Callithrix jacchus: one gene and its partners. The protein of the gene in region 5 interacts with the protein of the main gene of each other region in a pairwise test. Links are inferred from orthologs where the notes say so. Each region holds a gene or a part of one and is shown on either strand. Other genes may lie near its edges. The genes, in order: CDC37L1, EGFR, CHORDC1, DDX24 and HSP90AB1.

Region 1 (3,132 bases), on a different chromosome or scaffold from region 5:
CTGATTTTTAAATAATTAGTAATGTTCCCCCTTAGTTAGACATGTAAGAAATATTCCCCCTACAGATTTCCTACAGATTATCTCTTAATTTTATGTCAGTGATTATTTTTCCCTTCAGTTCCTGAGAAGTAGCCCACTGGGAAGTAGTTTTTCCAGGGGAATTCTGTGACCAAGTCACTGTGAAATCCAATATATAAACCTCCTGCAATTAAAATGTCACATAATGCATGGGAAAGAAAAAAGAGACTTTGGAAGGGTGTAATTGATTTTAAACATAAGAAGAAAAGGTACACATTATAGTATCTTAGGCCTATATTATTTAGAAATTGCCTCTGGTTTGAGAGAAGTAAGTCCTTGTTACACATATTAGATAGCAACTGATATCAGATACTAAGCATCCCTTAGAGTCATAGGCGGACTAGGATTATACAATTCTGACACTTTTGGATTGCTGATATTATCAGGGTTATTCAGATTTAATTAAGCTGGGCTAATCTCCTCATGGTGGGAGACCAATTTCTCTTGGTGAGTAATTTGAGCATCCTGGTATAGTCCTTCTGAAAGATACAAGAGCTGGACAAAATTTCAGTCAGATACTACATGTGCAGAAAGGATCATTGGCTAGTTGAAGGAAATCAAAAGAGGCTACTTGAGGGACCAAATCATCAGTTTAGAGGTTTGGAAGAAAAATCTTACCGTAATAATAGCATCCCATTTTTATATCCGTTTATAGGTTACAAAGCACTTTCACACATATTATTTAATCTTCTCAGTTTTCCTATGATTCATTTTCATTTCATTTTTATAGATAAGTAAACTGAAAGTCATGGAACTTAAGTAATTTGCCTGAAGTCAGCGCAATAAGTGATTAATGTTCTACTTTTGGATTTCTATTCTGCTTCACTATTTGTTTACCTATACCACAGACTGTTGAATCATATGTGTTGAGAATGTTACTAGATGAAAATATGGGACAGTTAATGAAATTTAAGTATAGGTTAGGTTGGGTATATCAATTCCTTATTTTTGAAAGTCTCTTTATGATAGTATCTTATAGTCCTTAGGAAGATGGGTGGATGAGTTTTGGAGAATCTCCTCAGCCAATTCTCTTATTCAAAACTGTGTCATGGAAAACTGGAGCCCAGTCTTAACAGAGTAATTAATTATAAGTTCTGTTCCAATGAACTTACAGAGAATTAGGCTTGGATTGTCAGAAAAAGGTCTTAAGGCTGTTTTTTTGGAGAATGGGACAAGATAAGAATATTGATCATTTTGGATAAAGCTTAAGTGTGGATAACTATTTAGTTTTTCTTTTTTTATATATAATTAACAGTAATCTTGTGAAATTAGCCAAATACCATTCATTATTCTTACTTTTAAGAGGTCTAATCCAAGTCTTGGATGTAGATATAACAACAATTACTTTAGGTGTATCCTATAGGCTAGATTTTAATTTTACCAAATTGTGAATTTTTTTCTCCTTGAGTATTGCTATACTAAATAGAGGCAGGATTAAAACTGGGGCCCAGTGTGAGTGTCCCAGACCTCAGTCAGTTGTCTCTGCTACTTCCTTTATAAAGACCTGATTGGGAGTCATCCAAACTCCAACTAGCTTTCTGACTTTTACAATGAAGGAATCTCATGAAGTGTTGTACTTTCTTAGGAGGATCTTTAGAAAACTCTGCCTCCCAACCTCCTATTAGATGGTGAGGTTTAAGGCATCTCTCCTGTTTGGACTATTTTCCTCATTGGTGTTTATTAAATAAAATAAATATAAATAAAATTAGTAATAAAAGTGGTATAAGTCTTAAGTAACTAGCAGATACTCAAACAGTTGAGTAGACAAAATTGAATTCTTGGGAAAGAATTTTCCAAAGTTCTGGGTCTTAAGGGCTATACCTTTATTCATAGTATAATACAACCTGATATTTTATTCTCAGTTTAAAAAATAAGGGTCTAAATACCTCTCAAAAGAGTACAGATTTCTCACTGAGTTGTTTTAACTTTTGGGAAAACAAAATAGACCCTGAAGATACCCATAATTTTTACCCAGTAAATGGATTTTTTTTATTCAGATTATTTGCATAATTTAGTGTTTACTGTTGTAGTTAGATGGTAATCTTAAAAATGCATTGCTGGCTTCAAACCGTATTTAAATTATCAGTAGCTATGTATATATAATCACATGGAAGTTGTAGCCTTGCCTTGTGTGATTAAATAATATATGGTTTTGTTAAATGGAGAAGAAAGGTGGTATTTGTTAACAATTCTGTTTTTCACATGTATCATTCTTTTATCACATCTCTTAGGTGATAGCATCCTGTTTTTGTCTTTATTTTCTTGGGTTTCAGCCCAAGTCTGACTTCATCTTCCCTACTACTCTACTACACTGCAGAGACATAGGACCGTGAAGTTGAATATGTATGTATGTACTATCATAAAACTGGTTATAATGCATTTTCTCCCCTGATCCGCCTTTTCTTTTTCCCCAGAATCCAGATTACCTTCAGTATTCTATCAGTACAGCTCTCTGCAGCTTAAACTCAGTGGTACATAAAGAAGATGATGAACCCAAAATGATGGACACTGTATAATTTGGTTAAAACTGCTGAGGCCAAGTGCTATTTTGTTACAAGAAAGGAAGAACTTGGCTATTTTCTTGACACTTTTATGGGTGCTGCACTTTATTTTTGTTCCTTTTTTGATGGGAGGGAAAGAGTACTGAAACGTTTTGTAAATTTTTTTTAATGTGCTGCTAGGTTTTTTGTTTTGTTTTGTTCTGAAGAGAGGAGTGGTACAGTATGTTGCAGGAAGTCAAACTGGACTTTTTATGGCTACTAAATTTGCCTTTAATCTTATTGTTCTCAATTTTGGAATCAAAGTATGAAAATCTGCACAAATGCAATGTTTACAAGAACTGGTTGATTCTGGGAGGCATCTGCTACAGTCTCTTTTTATATGGATATGTACATGTCCTATTATACAAAAATGATTAAAGATAAAAATGTACCTGTATCCCACTACTAATTTAGCTGTCAAATCTGGTGTTTCATCACATTAAAAGCAATAAATCAGTAGTTGGTAATCGGCTTTACTAAAGTTGGGAGGGTACAATTATTAAAAGTCTTAACT
Region 2 (4,265 bases), on a different chromosome or scaffold from region 5:
GCAGTGGCGTTTGGAAGTTGAGAGAGGCATCTGGAGTCGGAAGGCCTGCATGTGAATTTCACGCTGCTGCCTAGCAGCCTCGAGAAAGTCACTTTAATCCTTTGTACCTCAGTTTCCCCCATAGGAGGGGAGCGCATGCCTCTTATGCTTAATGTGAGGACTGAAAGGATGCATGAAACAGTGTGTGGCAGTCTTTTGCTCTAAGAGCAGCAAGCCCAGAAGTTAGCATGTCCCGGAACCAAAGTGCACCTTGAACAAAACCGACTGAACTTGATAGACACAGGCCTTCAACAAACTTCTGCTGAAAGAGCTCATCTCCTATTTTAATAATTGCCCCTGAACATTCAGTCTTTTATGTCACCGTAATGGAATAGCGTCTGTTCACCTACTCTCTGTCGTCTTCAGGAGCATTCTGTTTTGGGTGAATATGGGACCAACAGGCAAATTAAGTGGTATTTATATTTTTCTTAGGAACAAATCTCCAGCCACTAATACAGGTGTTCAAGCTAGTAACATCAAAGAACAAGAACACCGCTGGAGGGAGGAAAGTGATGCTTTGGAGGTGCTCTGCATGTTTAATTTAAAATAAAGAGAAGAGTCTCTGCTCTTCCGCAGAGACAGGGCTGGCACCTGACTCACAGGGTCGCGTAGGCTCAGCAGAGGAGGAATCTTTCCAAGAGTTCCTTCAGTGAGAAGAGAAATCCTTTATTATTGGAATCACACCCTACCTTTCCCCTCTTTCCTATATTTGGCAAGATTGTTAAAACTCCAGATGTCCTCAAAGAGCTCTTTGCATTGGCAAGTAATCTCTCCGGAGACTTTAACAATCCTTCTTCCGTGCAGTGATCCCCAAACCTGGCTGCCCAACAGATCACATGAAAAGCATTTTTAAAAATACCATATCCAGGTCTTGCCCCATGTCAATTAAATCAGAATGTCTGGGGGTGGGAGCCAGACACTGGTTTCTGTTTTGGTTTTAAAAAATCCCAGGTAATTCTAAACTGCAGCAAGGTCTGGGAACCACTGTTCTATGCCTTGTCCCTCCCCCAACAACGGCGCTGGGCACCAAACCCCAACGCCTCATGCCAGTGACATCAACAGCAAGTACGGGCCTGGCTCCTGGAACCCGCGCAGCTCAAGGCTGGAATTGTGCAATTAAACCTGAGGCATGTTTCCCATGTCAGATGGGTTTATGAGGGTAGTCACGAAGCCAGACTCGCTCATGTTCTGTCTGGAGACTTGGCACACGTGAACCAGGGACATCAATCTGGTGTGTGTGTGTGTGTGTGTGTGTATGACAGGTTTAATATTTTGGTTGGCCCAATGTCAAATTCTTCAAACGGCAAAGAGAAACATCCAAGAAAGAAACTCCCCGGGTTTTGAGAAGGAAAGTTTGCTGTGAGCCCCGTTTTGAAACACCGTGGTGTGGCCAGGACCGGCTCTGCTCCTTGAGCTTCCGCGCAAGAGTCCCGCGGTCCCCCTCTGGAGTGGCCGGACAGCCGCGTCCCGTTCCACCGCGAAGCCCAGGCTCGACCGAAGGGTTGCAGGCGTGGAAAACCCGCGACATGGCCACCGAACCAGAGCCCGGGGCTTTCGGGGGGGGGCGCCCCGGAGGGAGGTCGGGTCCTCAGCGGGACACACCTGGACCGGCCGAACTAGAGCGCGCCGGGCGGGGCGAGCCGCCGGCCGGGGTCTGCGCCCAAGGGGCGGGTCGGACCCCACCTGCCTTTTGCCAAGGAGGAAACTAACCGCCGCCAGCACCACCCCTTCCCGGGAGCCGCAGGTGGTGGCAGACGAGTTCTCCCAGCTCCCAGGTGAAGGCTGCTACTCCACACCCGGGAACGAGGCTCGCGGGGACCCGGAGAGGCGCCGGGGCCAGGCTGACCCACGCCGGCTTCAGCGTGAGACTCGCGCGGAGGGCGGAGGCGGGAGGTCAGCTCAGGAAGCCGCCTGTCCCGCGGGGTCCGAGGGGAGGCTGCATTCTCGGGGTCCTTCCTCAGCTTCCCTAAACCGCGCGGCCCTGCGGGTGGGCAGCGCTGGCCCCTCGGGTGCGCGTTCCGACCCCGCCGTGCCCTGGGAGGACAACGCGGGGCGCCATGCGGGACCCCGGCTCCCGGCGCCCACCGGGCCGCGGACGCCGATCCCGCGCAGAGAGGCGGGAAAGTAAGGGAGAAAAGTTGGGAGCGGTCGGGACCGCAGGAGGTGCCAGCTGCCGTTCTCCGCCCCGCCCGCAGCCCGGTGCCCTCCCCGTCTCCTCCTCCGCCCGCCGCGGACTCTCCCGGCCAGGGACGAAACGTCCCGTTCCTCCCGCGGTCCCGGCCGGCAGCGCAGCTGATCTCAAGGAAACAGGAACGGACGGGCGGGGGCGCGGGCACCGAGCCGGTGCGCCGGTGCGCGGCTGGGCTAGCTGCGGGGTCCGGGGCGCGCTCCGGGGGCGGCTCGGGAGCCGGCGAGACACGCCCTTACCTTTCTTTTCCTCCAGAGCCAGACTCGCTGGGCAGAGCGCAGCCAGCAGAGCCAGGAGCGCGGCCCCTGCCGTCCCTGAGGGTCGCATCGCTGCTCCCCGAAGAGCTCGCTCCGACGCTCCTGGATCAGTCCTGGACGGAGTCAGGCGGCCGTGCGCGGTGGCTGTGGCGGCGGCGAGGCGGGGACTCGGGCGGACGCCGCCGAGGTGGGTTGTCGTCCCGGCTGGGCGGCGGCGGCCCCCGGGACTCGCTCGGGACTCCAGCCGCCTTGGTCGCGGAGGGCTCTCACACCGTGCGGGGGGCGGAGGCTGCTGCGGCCGCGCGGCGCGGGGGCTGCCCGGACGTCTAGCTCGCGCGGGCCGGGACGTGGGGAAGGCTGGGCGGGAGGAGGAGGGACCAGGCGGCGGAGGAGGGATCGGGAGGAGCGGAGGAGGAGGAGAATGCGAGGAGGAGGGACGAGAACCAGCAGCAGGGACCCAAAGCCAGCGGCCGCCGGAGGCGGTGGACAGCGGTGACCCCCGCGGGACCCGGGCTCCGGCAGGAAAGGGGCGGCGCGTGGGAGGGGAGCGGGTGCCCTGAGGAGTTAATTTCCGAGAGGGGCGTTCCCAGCACTGCTCCTCTGGACTCAGTCTCCATGGACTTGCAGGCCCAGCTTATGCTGAGATGGAGCCAAATCTGTGCCAGGGTCCCCTTCCCCCTTTCCCTTCTTTTGTTTTACAAAGCAAACTTGTACCAGCTTTGGACAGATTGGCCAAGCCCTAGAGCCAGCGTCGGATAATGGCACCGACGGGGAAACTGCTCTTTTATTCTGGTCCCCACCTCCCCTGCAGCACCCTGGGACCCTCCCAGGGCTCAGAGGCTGGCCTGGCAGCTGAGGCGGTTGCCGTGCCTGTGCAGCAGGAGTGCCAGGCGTCCGAGGTGCTGATCCAAAGTCCGAGGGTCCTTCAGATCCCGTCAAGCACCCTCGAAATTGAATGAAATGAGGGTACCCAACTCCGAGCTCAGATACAGGCCTCCTCAATGTTTATTGTAACCGACCCTGGGTAATTTGAGCCAATGTGTGAGGCACAGTACTTCGCAAAAGGGAAGCTCTTGGAATAAACGCTTGACACAAACAGCCGTGGAGATACTTTTAGAGAGGCTAAGTGTCCCACTGCCCTGGTAGCTCCCACAGGAGAAATGCCAGGGAAATTCGCAGAGGCTTTGGCCGGAAGAAACTGAGCTGCTTTGGGCTGCAGGAACTTGAGCTACATTCCTTCTGCAAGTGCACCCTATCCCCACTGTTCCTTCTCCTACAGGAAAAATGCCCTCTAGGTCCATGTTACAGACCCCTCCTCTCCACAAGGTTCACTAGGACTTTCCGGCCTGATTCAACAACCTTGATCTCCCGGCTCTGTCAAGAACCACACTCCTGAAGTAAGTGGAGCCCTTTGCTGCCCTTTGCTGTCCCTGGAGGGGAGCAACCTTGCTTCTTTCCTTCCCATCCAGCAAATTGTCTGTGCCAGAGTTTCACACCCTGCAGCCTAAACGGTGGGGTTTTCAGCAGGGCAAGCGCAAACTCCTCACCGCCGACTCCTCACTGCCAGCTCCTCACCGCTGCTGCAACCTGGAACTTCCCCTGTGAATCAGGAGAAGTAATTTGTTCCTTTGTTTTAACCAATCAGGACAGCCACTGCAGGTTGAAGTCAGCCCCTGGATGCAGAGGCTGTGACGGCTCTGCAGGCACGTGTGTGCTTCCTCCACATATGCACACCTGGGCTGAGAGCAGTCCATAAAGAAACAAAGAAAAAACAAAACCAG
Region 3 (3,995 bases), on a different chromosome or scaffold from region 5:
CCCTGTATTACTAGCCAGTATTGCTTCCTTAGTAACCATGTGCTGCCTAGATACTAGCCAATGTAGAAACAAAGTGTTAGGTAACTTCCTGATACAGTAAGTAAACCCATGGATCAGAAAGATGTTATTAATACAGGGTAGTTGTGGAATTAAGGGCTGAAAAAGGAGATCGGAAGTAGAAATGGGTATGCAGAAGGCCATGAAGTTGAGAGGGGAATGGAAATAGAGGATACAGTATTTTTAAATACCAAATTTAAGGTAGTCAGAGACATAAAATGTACAATGTTTAACACAATCAGAGGCATAAAATGTCACAATACTAGTCAATTTTGGCAGAATGGGAGCAGGAATGAGTCAGATCCAAACCATACAATTAGTATGAACACAATTAGAAAACCAGTGCTTTCAAAAACAAGAAGTAATAAGCAGCTGGACATTCTTTATCCTTTATCAGTTTTAAGAGTTTTGGTAAAATTAATATTTTATGGGTAAGAAGCTGCAACACAGTAGTAGTTATTAACTATCCAGGGCTTCTAACATTGGGTCTGACCCTGGCTAAATTTCTCACTGCTGCTTGCCACTAGTTCCTTCAGTTTTCCTCGTATACGTGGATTAAATAAAACACTGTTTGTGAAGCTCTGTTTATTCTAGAATAAGTGTTTACATATGCAAGTTGCCAACTATGTCTCCCTCAAACACCCTTTAACTTGTGTTACAAATTAAAACGTTCTATCAGCTTAAAAGGGAGTCTAATTTCTGTCTATAAGGGGAAAAAATCATGAGACTCTAAGTCAACAAGCATGGTAATTATGCCGCAGCACCAAGAAAAAAAGCATTTAGTGTAGATTTCAAAAGATATTTAAGGATGGCAGATCCATCATATGGCTTCATGCAAAATGGAACTTGCTTGTGTATTTACTTCTTTAACTTATTTCTGTCAACTGTACAACGTCAAACCTCTTCCTATAAAACCGACCAACCTTACTATTTAGTTCTTGTCTCCTACTCCGTATCTCCATTTTCTTCTCCTTCCATCCACTTAACCAACTTACTTGAAAAACGCATTCTAAGCCTCTTAAAAAAAAAAAACAAAAAAACCTCATTTCGCTTAAGTAAATATACTTTCAGCGATCTTACTGAAGTTTCAGCGATCTTACTCGAATTTCTCTGCTGTATCGGGTACTGCTGACCACCCAATTATTGAGACTGTTTATTCTTTGTTTTTACTGGTCATTTTCTCCTATGCACTGCACCAAATCACACATGGATACAGACTTCCAACAAATGGCTATCTCCCCTGAACTTTATTGTCCCATACAGCAAAACATCAGCCTTTCCCCTATATTCGATATTAAAGTAGAGTATCTGCAGACATAAATGCAATTATTTTTTATGTAGGCTACCAAAATCAAAGTGCTTTCAAATCATTTCTCAAGTTTGTCATCCACTGAAATCTCACAATTTTCCTCTTGAGTAGCATCATATCTGCATCATAAAAATGTCAGTGTCCGTAACATGAGTATTGCATAGATTGGATTTACCTTTTCTTTAAAACCCTGTTTTAATAATGCAATCAATAAACCTGTGTGCCAAACCTAAGTATTTCAAACATCTCAGAGGTGAAGAGTTTAAAAGGCATGAGTTTTCATCTCCCCCACAGTGATGAAGGATGTTATTAATACTACCTCACTGAACGGAGCTTCTCAATCAATGGATCTAATTAATACCGCACGCTTCCCACGGTTGTTATGAAGATTAAGATGATAAAGCGATAATGTCTAGCATGCAGAAGACATAAACTAAATGCTAGTTCGATCTGAAAACGTGCTGTCACTTCTCACAATACGCAAGGAATCGTCTCACTTCTTCATCAATCAAAATCTCAATTCACTGATCATTTCCCGTCCTTCACCTAGTAGTCACTTTCGCTTTGGATCCTTAACTCGACATCTTGATGCTGTAGCGGACATTCGATCATTTTATACTGGAGTCAGCAATGGTATTAAAACGTGGAGACCACAACAACAATACCCAACAAAGGATGCCAGTAAGAAAAAGATAACTAACGTACCACCAGGATGCACCTACCAAAACAGTGTAAAGATACAGATTAATGTCCCTCACCTAGAACACTCGCAAGAGGTTTGTAACAGCGGATCGACTGAACACAAACTTCTATGAGGCAGGGCTTACTCGCTAGGACAAGTCCCGACCCTCGCTCCCTCTGGCGCAGGCAATCACAGCTAACACTACTTGCGGAACTGCAAAGCAAGCTCACCAGTACCTCGTTAACTTTTGCTTCCCCAGAGACTAGGGGGCCCGAGGAGAAAGGTGTTTGTTCTAAATTCCAGGCGACTTAAACCCAGCGCGGGGACGACCGGGGAAACACATGGATCCAGGGGAGCGTCCCTCTCCGCAGAGGCAGAGGGCAGTCGGGCGCCGGGGCCGGGCCATAGCCAAGGGAATGCGGCACACCAGGCGGGGTGCCGGCGGGCTGTGCGCCCAGGAGGGACCTAGACCTGGCGCCGCGCGAGAACGGCTGCAGGACGTCCGCGGACACCCTGCGGCCCAATGGGCCTCCCCCGCCGATGAGGTGGAGAGGGGAGGGAGGGCTGGCGGCGCGTTCCTCTTACCATCGGAATTGGTTTCAGGATCAAAGCGCTGACCGCAGCCCCGGTTGTAGCACAGCAAGGACATTTTCTCTTCCCACTGTCACAAGCAAGGCCCAAACGCCGGGAATGGCAAGAGGATGCCGTGGCCACTCCCGTGTAGCTAGCCCTAGTCTGACGACCAAGGCGACTGCCGGCTTCCGGAAACGATCAGCGGCGTTTCAGGAACCTTCGCGAATTTTCCGGTCGCGCAGGCGCAGCGGAGAAGGAAAGCGGCGGAGGAAGCAGCAGGAGGTCGGCACTAGCCCGGGCTACAATAGGTCGGACTGCTGCAGCTGGTAGCAACTGCGGGTCGGAGGTGGAGCCCAGACAATAGCGGAAGAGAAATGTACTGGGCAGAAACTGAAGGTGTCCAAGAGACTGACAGCTGTCTCCTGACTTCCCCAGTCCTCACTGGCAATGGGCATGTCCTCTCATCCCCTGCGGCCCGGCATCCTTCTTCCTTGCCTTGAGGCTGCGCCTTAGACTGCCCGGTGGGTATCTTCTGACCCCTTAGTTGTGCACAATAAGTGTGCAATCGTACAGTGTTTCCAAATCCTCAGGATAGAGGTGGGAGCTTAGTAAATGAGGAGAGGAATAGTGGACGAACCTCTCCGCGTGTCTGTGTCTCCGGTGCCCTCCTCTCGGGAGCAATTTTAATAACTGAACAGTTTCGTTCACGTTACTTTGAAAATACAAAACACGTAAAAATCTGAAGAACAAAATTATGGATCTGATACTGTGCCAGAAATGATCACAATTGCTCTAAGGCCCTGGGGTAATTGTTAATATTTCATATGAGCTCCCACTTAAACGATTTCTCAATACTCAGTACTCCACTATTGGAACAGCTAGTAAAACTTCAAGTGCATTATAAAAATTACAGTAATGCATTGGCTCCAACTTGCATATTTCCCAAATGTGGGACGTTTGAAAGAAAAGCAAACACTTTTTGATAACATACACTGAAGGATCTTAAAATAAGATAAGCAGCTTGTAAGAAACCTAAAAATCTATACACAGTTTCCATTGGTCTCAAGGTTATTTAGGGATCTGGCTCACATCCTCCTACCCCTGAAAAAAAGACTTTTTAGTTTTCATATTACGTTCTCTTCTACCTAGAAGTATTAAATTATTATATTGTAATCCCAACATAGATACATGTTTTCTTCTTCATTTAACTTAACATGAATATTTTTCTGTTTTGTTTTGTAATCATTATTACAAATGATGGAGTATTCTCTTGAATGAATCCACTGTAATGTAACCTTTCTCGAATTTTCCCAACTTTATTATATGTAAGTTACAGTAATCAACTTGTATATTATTTTCCTTATTTCAAATTTC
Region 4 (3,152 bases), on a different chromosome or scaffold from region 5:
TGTACAAGGCTCAGGACAAGAGAAGGGAAACACGGATCAGTGGGCAGGAGACTGCTCTGTCACAGAGGAGAGGAGTGGAGACAAGGCTGGGGCCAGATCCTGAGGGCCTCACACGCCAGAACCAGTGACTATTACTGTTAGTTCTGTGATGTGAGGGAAGCCTGAAGACAGCAACCTCATTCCTGCCCACCTCCCAGGGAGGCTCAGATAATAGCCAGGACAGAGTGGGAAAAAGATAAGCAGCCATTAGGTGTTGCTCGGGTTAAAGCAGGAACATACACCAAGGACCTGGCAGGATGTACTACAGAGGCCTCAACTCCAGCCTCTTGCTCCATTCACACTGTCCAACCTTGGCCTGCAGCCAGAGGCCTGACACTATTCCTGTTCCTTCAAGGTCTTAGCACTGTGCTGGCCCAGAAGAATCACTAAGTTAATAATGAAATAAACTATACCACCACCCCCATCTTCTAGCTAAAAAAAAAAAAAAAAAAAAAAAAAAATTAGGATGACACACTGGCTCTGACCATTGTTTTTAATTTACGAAATCAAGTTGAACACACAAGAAGCCTATAAACACGGCAATACAGAAAAGTTAAGCTGCTGCATAGAATTCTTACTCCAAAACAAGGTAAATCTGCAAAAGGTCTCTCCCGCTATGGGTGTGAGTGGAAGAGAGGGAGACTTTTTTTACCTGGGGTTGATGGTGGAGTGAAACACAAGAGTAGGAGAGGTTTTGCAAATAGCCAGAGAACAGAGACCAATGTGCAGTCACCGACACACTTGACCAGCACAATTAATTTGCACTTGTACTTGGTTGTGGCTGTTCTGGCTGCGGCTCCTTTGGCTTCTTTTTCTTCTTCTGCTGCTTGGAGAGGCAGCTCAAAGCAGACTCGCTATTCCTTGGGGCAGACACAAGCAGGGGCGGCTTGCCAGACTGAGTGGGATACTTGGTTTTCTGGCTCTCTGTAAACAGCGGCTGGGAGAGCAGGTGGCGCAGCTCCTTCTTCAGAACCTTCATTTGCTTTTGTCTCCGACGCTCTTCTTGCTGGTCAGCTTTTCCACCTAGAAACGCAATACAAAAATGATCCTATTTACTATGGTTTGTAAAAACATTTTGTTTCCCTTGATGGATAACAGAATAAAAACTGTTTTAGAACTACTTTAGGGAGGTGGAGTTGCAAAGTTCTCTAAAGAAGCCAGTGGAGGCTTGGCAGGGGCTGTAAATGGATAACATCTAACCATTTGGGGGGGATACGCAGGACCGTTCTATACTTTTCTCCTTTGTAAAAACACTCGAAGACTGGAATTATCTTTACAGATGAAGCAAATTGGCTTAGAGAAGTCACCTGGCTTACACCTCAGAGCCAGCCATCAGACAGAGCCCAGAACCCAAGTCTTCTGACAGAAGATCACCTTTCTTCCTATTACCTACCCACTTACTGCCCACCTGGGGTTTGGAGACTTCACAACTACAACCCCCTTAGGAGACAATGAATGCTTCTTTGTAGCCCAGCTCTCCTCTACCTTGCCACCAGTGCTGTGACTGCACATACAGAGGTGGGCAAAGCCAAAGGGCTCCATCTCAGCCTGTCCTCAGGAAGGGAAGCCAGGGCCTCCACATCTTCAGCCCAAGCCCCAAAGCTGAACTACCAGGACTAGCTCACTGTCTATAAGCCCACTGGTTTGGCTCCTGACTTCCATGCTGAGCAGACAGCAGTAAGTTTGGCTCTGAATCTGCTGACTTGAGCACTGAGGTATCAATATCTCAGGTGAGCTGTACATTTGGTGGTGTGGAAGAAGCACGGAATTCTAGACCTGGTTCTACAACTTCTTAGACTCAGGAGCTTTCTCAAGGTGGGACCGAGCAGATTCATCCCTGAAGCCTCAGCCTCTGGCCACACACAGAGTAGCAGCTCAGGAAATGTCTGGTGACAGAGCTACTTCCCTGCACAAATTGCCTCTGCTGTAAGTATCTAGTTCCCATGTGTAAAAGAATAGTACTTCCTGTTATGTTCATGTCATGAAAGTGGAGATGATCAAATGAGATAATGGCATGAAAGTGCTTTGTCAGCTTGGAAGGCAGGTGTAGTAGGAACCATAATGACAAATAGCTTAAAATGTATAAAATACTTTCTATTTGCCAGGCAATGCTGCAAGCACCCAATATTTTTTAACTCGATCAATCTTCCCAACAATCCCATGAAATAGATGGCTGATTACTTCCATTTTATCGAAAAAAGAAAGCTGAGACACAACAGAGGTTAAATAACTTCAGTCACACAGTAAAAGGAATCAGCAGGCATTCTAACACAGGCACATTGGCCAGAGAGCCTGCTCCCGTCCTCACTGTATCCACTGCCTGTCCACGTAAGAGGCGGCAGCTAAGGATGCAAGACAGAGACAGAGGAAACCCATCTGGAACGGGGGCCTGTTAGCAAAGAAGGGGAAGGACGTCTTGCTGATTTTGGCAAGACCCACAGTAGTAGCGAAGGTTCCAACGAAGCACAAGTTAAAGAGAAATTTCACCTTCCTCAATTCCCATCCGGCCCAAGGGCTTACCCTTATACATGTCTTCTTCCAGCTCAATCTCCAAGGCAGCCGCTGCCTGCTCAATCCAAGAATTGTGCAGACAAGCCTGGAAGTTCCGATACTCAGATTTCTCAATCAGTCGAGCTAAACGGATTCGCTCCTGGGTTAAAGTAACAGAAAATATTCATCTGAAAGAGAGTTCAGGCCTCTGGGAAGCAAAGTCTCACTTGAGTTGTGTGTCTTTGTTTGTGTGTTTGCTTGAGGGAGGATCTCACTCTGCTGCCCAGGCTGGAGAACAGTGGCATGGATCATGGCTCATTGCAGCCTCAACCTCCTTAACTCATGTGATCCTCCCACCTCAGCCTCCCAAGCAGCTGGGACCACAGGCTAGCACCACCATGCCCAGCTAATTTTTTTTTTTTGGTAAAGACAGGGTCTCACTGTGTTGTCTAGGCTGGTCTTGAACTCCTGGGCTCAAGGGCTTTTTCCCCCTCAGCCTTCCAAAGTGCTAGGATTACAGGCATGAGCCACCATGCCCAGCAAGCAGTGTTTTTAAAAAGCTCTTGAGATCAGTGATCAGTGAGAAGCAGTTCAGTTCCTACTGAACTTCATTTGCTTTGTTT
Region 5 (2,540 bases):
TAGTGGAATCCTCGTGAATTCCAAGCTTGAAGAGTGGGAAGAGAAAAAAACAATCCAACTTAACTAAAATAACCTTGCCTTCTATAAGAATGGTAGAATTTATCGTAATTACTAAGAAAGTGGTAAAGGGAATAACCATGTGCCTCCTTACCTTGAGATTTTTAGAGAATGCCTCATAGAATTTCTTATAATTCTCCTTGTCTTCTGCCAGCTCAGAGAAGAGCTCAAGGCATTTCTTAACAATGTTTTTGCGAATGACTTTCAAGATTTTGCTCTGTTGGAGCATTTCTCGGGAGATGTTCAGAGGCAAATCCTCAGAGTCAACCACACCACGGATAAAGTCTGCCATCAACCAGGATGAGAAAACTCAGTAAAAACAGCTAGACCAGACCTGGTACCCAGATTCAAAGAGAAGGCGCTATTGCCCCCTGAACCCTCACACACTATGTATTGCAGAGAACTATTACACCTAGGAATAAGACTTTTTAGTTGCAGAATGTTGAAAACCTTGCCCCAAGACTTCACCCAACTAAATTATGCCAAGGACATACTCACTGAGATACTCTGGTATCAACTCATCACAGCTGTCCATGATGAATACACGACGGACATAGAGTTTGATGTTGTTCTTCTTCTTCTTGTTCTCAAAAAGGTCAAAGGGAGCCCGACGAGGAATGAATAGCAATGCCCTGAATTCCAACTGACCTTCTACAGAAAAGTGCTGAAAGAATCCAAACATAAACAAGTAGTAGTACATTTCCAAAGAGTGCCTTTTAGCCCCAACAAATTACCTAAAAGTGGAACAATGATCCTCCCTAAGCCTAAAGGACAAAGCACACACAACAGGCAGCTCTCTAGAAAACCGAGCCTTAATGCTCTCAATGATCAGGGGCAGACATTACCAAGATTACCATCAGAAGACAAAGTGAGGTCATTAGGAAGGATAGCTCCTCACTGTGACAGGGTAATCAATGAAATCACATGGTTCTCAACATTTCTGTGATCAGGAGGACAAGTTCCATGTGTCTATTACCTGCCAAAACGCCACCTACTCACTCCTCTCCATATTTGTATGTTGAGCCAATGTGCAAGGGCTTCTCACCTTGACTGCCAAGTGGTCTTCCCAGTCATTGGTGAGGCTTTTGTAGAATTCTCCATACTCCTCTTGAGTGATGTCATCAGGGTTTCTAGTCCAAATAGGCTTAGTCTTGTTTAGTTCTTCCTGATCAATGTATTTCTCTTTGATCTTCTTAGTTTTCTTCTTCTTATCCTTACCACTATCATCCTCCTCGTCTGAACCCACATCTTCAATCTTGGGCTTTTCTTCATCATCTTTATCTTCCTCTTCTTTCTCACCTTTCTCTTCCTCTGCCTCATCATCACTAATTTCCTTCTCTCGTTCCTTCTCCAACTAAACAACAAAAACAAAAGTTAGCCTTGAGTACTAACCACTAACAGGGAAAGCAAAAGCCAGGGCCCATGATGACTCCAGAACAGGAAACACCCTGCACGTTAAGTGAAAAAGGTTTAAAAGTCCACACTCACATAGAGGGTGATGGGATAGCCTATGAACTGAGAGTGCTTCTTCACTACTTCTTTGACCCGCCTTTCTTCTAAGTACTCTGTCTGATCTTCTTTAAGGTGGAGGATCACTTTGGTACCCCTGCCAATGGGCTCACCTACAAGAGTCAGTCACAAGCATGTAACAGGGTGAAAATATAAAAGCAGTTAAGACTTCACCAAGCCAAAAAAAAAAAAAAAAAAGTATATTAGCGAGGCTGCTATAATTTCAACTGCTTTACAAACAGGATGCTAAAAATTTCTGCCACTTCACAAGCCCAGAAAACTCCAACCCAGCTTAACTTGTAACGGGAGAGCTTACCATGGTCAGCACGCACAGTGAAGGAACCTCCAGCAGAAGACTCCCAGGCATACTGTTCATCATCATTGTGCTTTGTGATCACAACCACTTTCTCTGCCACCAGGTAGGCAGAATAAAAGCCAACACCAAATTGCCCAATCATGGAGATGTCTGCACCAGCCTGCCAACAAGTTATTTAAAGTCAAACACAAGTTTTCGAAAAGCAACAAACCAAAGCACACTGACAAATATGAATGGTGTGTGCCTGCAAAACTGCACATACCTGAAGAGCCTCCATGAATGCTTTAGTACCAGACTTGGCAATGGTTCCCAAATTATTTATGAGATCTGCTTTGGTCATGCCAATGCCCGTGTCTACCAAAGTCAAGGTACGTTCCTGAGGGTTGGGGATGATGTCAATTTTCAGCTCTTTACCACTGTCCAACTTTGAAGGGTCTGTCAGGCTCTCATAGCGAATCTTGTCCAAGGCCTGAAAATACAAATAGGAATTTGCTTTTGTTTTCCCTTTAAGACAGGCTCTGGCTCTGTCGCTCAAGCTACGGTGCAATGTTAAGGATCACAGCTCACTGCAGCCTGGACCTCCCAGGCTCAAGCCACACTCCCACGTAGCTGGACTACAGGCACATGCTACCATGGCCACTTAATATTTTTTTTTTTT

Evidence for each region.
Region 1: the proteins of HSP90AB1 (region 5) and CDC37L1 interact in binary tests that used the Homo sapiens proteins (3 or more experiments, as listed by UniProt). The link is inferred for Callithrix jacchus from reciprocal best matches to the Homo sapiens genes HSP90AB1 and CDC37L1.
Region 2: the proteins of HSP90AB1 (region 5) and EGFR interact in binary tests that used the Homo sapiens proteins (3 or more experiments, as listed by UniProt). The link is inferred for Callithrix jacchus from reciprocal best matches to the Homo sapiens genes HSP90AB1 and EGFR.
Region 3: the proteins of HSP90AB1 (region 5) and CHORDC1 interact in binary tests that used the Homo sapiens proteins (3 or more experiments, as listed by UniProt). The link is inferred for Callithrix jacchus from reciprocal best matches to the Homo sapiens genes HSP90AB1 and CHORDC1.
Region 4: the proteins of HSP90AB1 (region 5) and DDX24 interact in a two-hybrid assay, tested with the Homo sapiens proteins (2 studies listed by BioGRID and IntAct, with this or other methods). The link is inferred for Callithrix jacchus from reciprocal best matches to the Homo sapiens genes HSP90AB1 and DDX24.

The regions. Positions count from the first base shown.
Region 1 is NC_133502.1:111,210,409-111,213,540, forward strand, and holds part of CDC37L1 (hsp90 co-chaperone Cdc37-like 1), read left to right. Parts: intron 1-2,309; coding exon 2,310-2,411; 3' UTR 2,412-2,492; coding exon of another isoform or gene 2,493-2,594; 3' UTR 2,595-3,132. UniProt on the Homo sapiens protein: Co-chaperone that binds to numerous proteins and promotes their interaction with Hsp70 and Hsp90.
Region 2 is NC_133512.1:22,475,016-22,479,280, reverse strand, and holds the start of EGFR (epidermal growth factor receptor), read right to left. Parts: upstream 2,813-4,265; 5' UTR 2,555-2,812; coding exon 2,467-2,554; intron 1-2,466. UniProt on the Homo sapiens protein: Receptor tyrosine kinase binding ligands of the EGF family and activating several signaling cascades to convert extracellular cues into appropriate cellular responses.
Region 3 is NC_133511.1:50,352,832-50,356,826, reverse strand, and holds the start of CHORDC1 (cysteine and histidine-rich domain-containing protein 1), read right to left. Parts: upstream 2,805-3,995; 5' UTR 2,698-2,804; coding exon 2,634-2,697; intron 1-2,633. UniProt on the Homo sapiens protein: Regulates centrosome duplication, probably by inhibiting the kinase activity of ROCK2. Proposed to act as co-chaperone for HSP90. May play a role in the regulation of NOD1 via a HSP90 chaperone complex. In vitro, has intrinsic chaperone activity.
Region 4 is NC_133509.1:128,872,469-128,875,620, forward strand, and holds the end of DDX24 (ATP-dependent RNA helicase DDX24), read right to left. Parts: intron 2,690-3,152; coding exon 2,560-2,689; intron 1,063-2,559; coding exon 794-1,062; 3' UTR 519-793; downstream 1-518. UniProt on the Homo sapiens protein: ATP-dependent RNA helicase that plays a role in various aspects of RNA metabolism including pre-mRNA splicing and is thereby involved in different biological processes such as cell cycle regulation or innate immunity.
Region 5 is NC_133505.1:52,714,903-52,717,442, reverse strand, and holds part of HSP90AB1 (heat shock protein HSP 90-beta), read right to left. Parts: intron 2,352-2,540; coding exon 2,145-2,351; intron 2,043-2,144; coding exon 1,883-2,042; intron 1,680-1,882; coding exon 1,546-1,679; intron 1,412-1,545; coding exon 1,103-1,411; intron 722-1,102; coding exon 556-721; intron 343-555; coding exon 152-342; intron 26-151; coding exon 1-25. UniProt on the Homo sapiens protein: Molecular chaperone that promotes the maturation, structural maintenance and proper regulation of specific target proteins involved for instance in cell cycle control and signal transduction. Undergoes a functional cycle linked to its ATPase activity.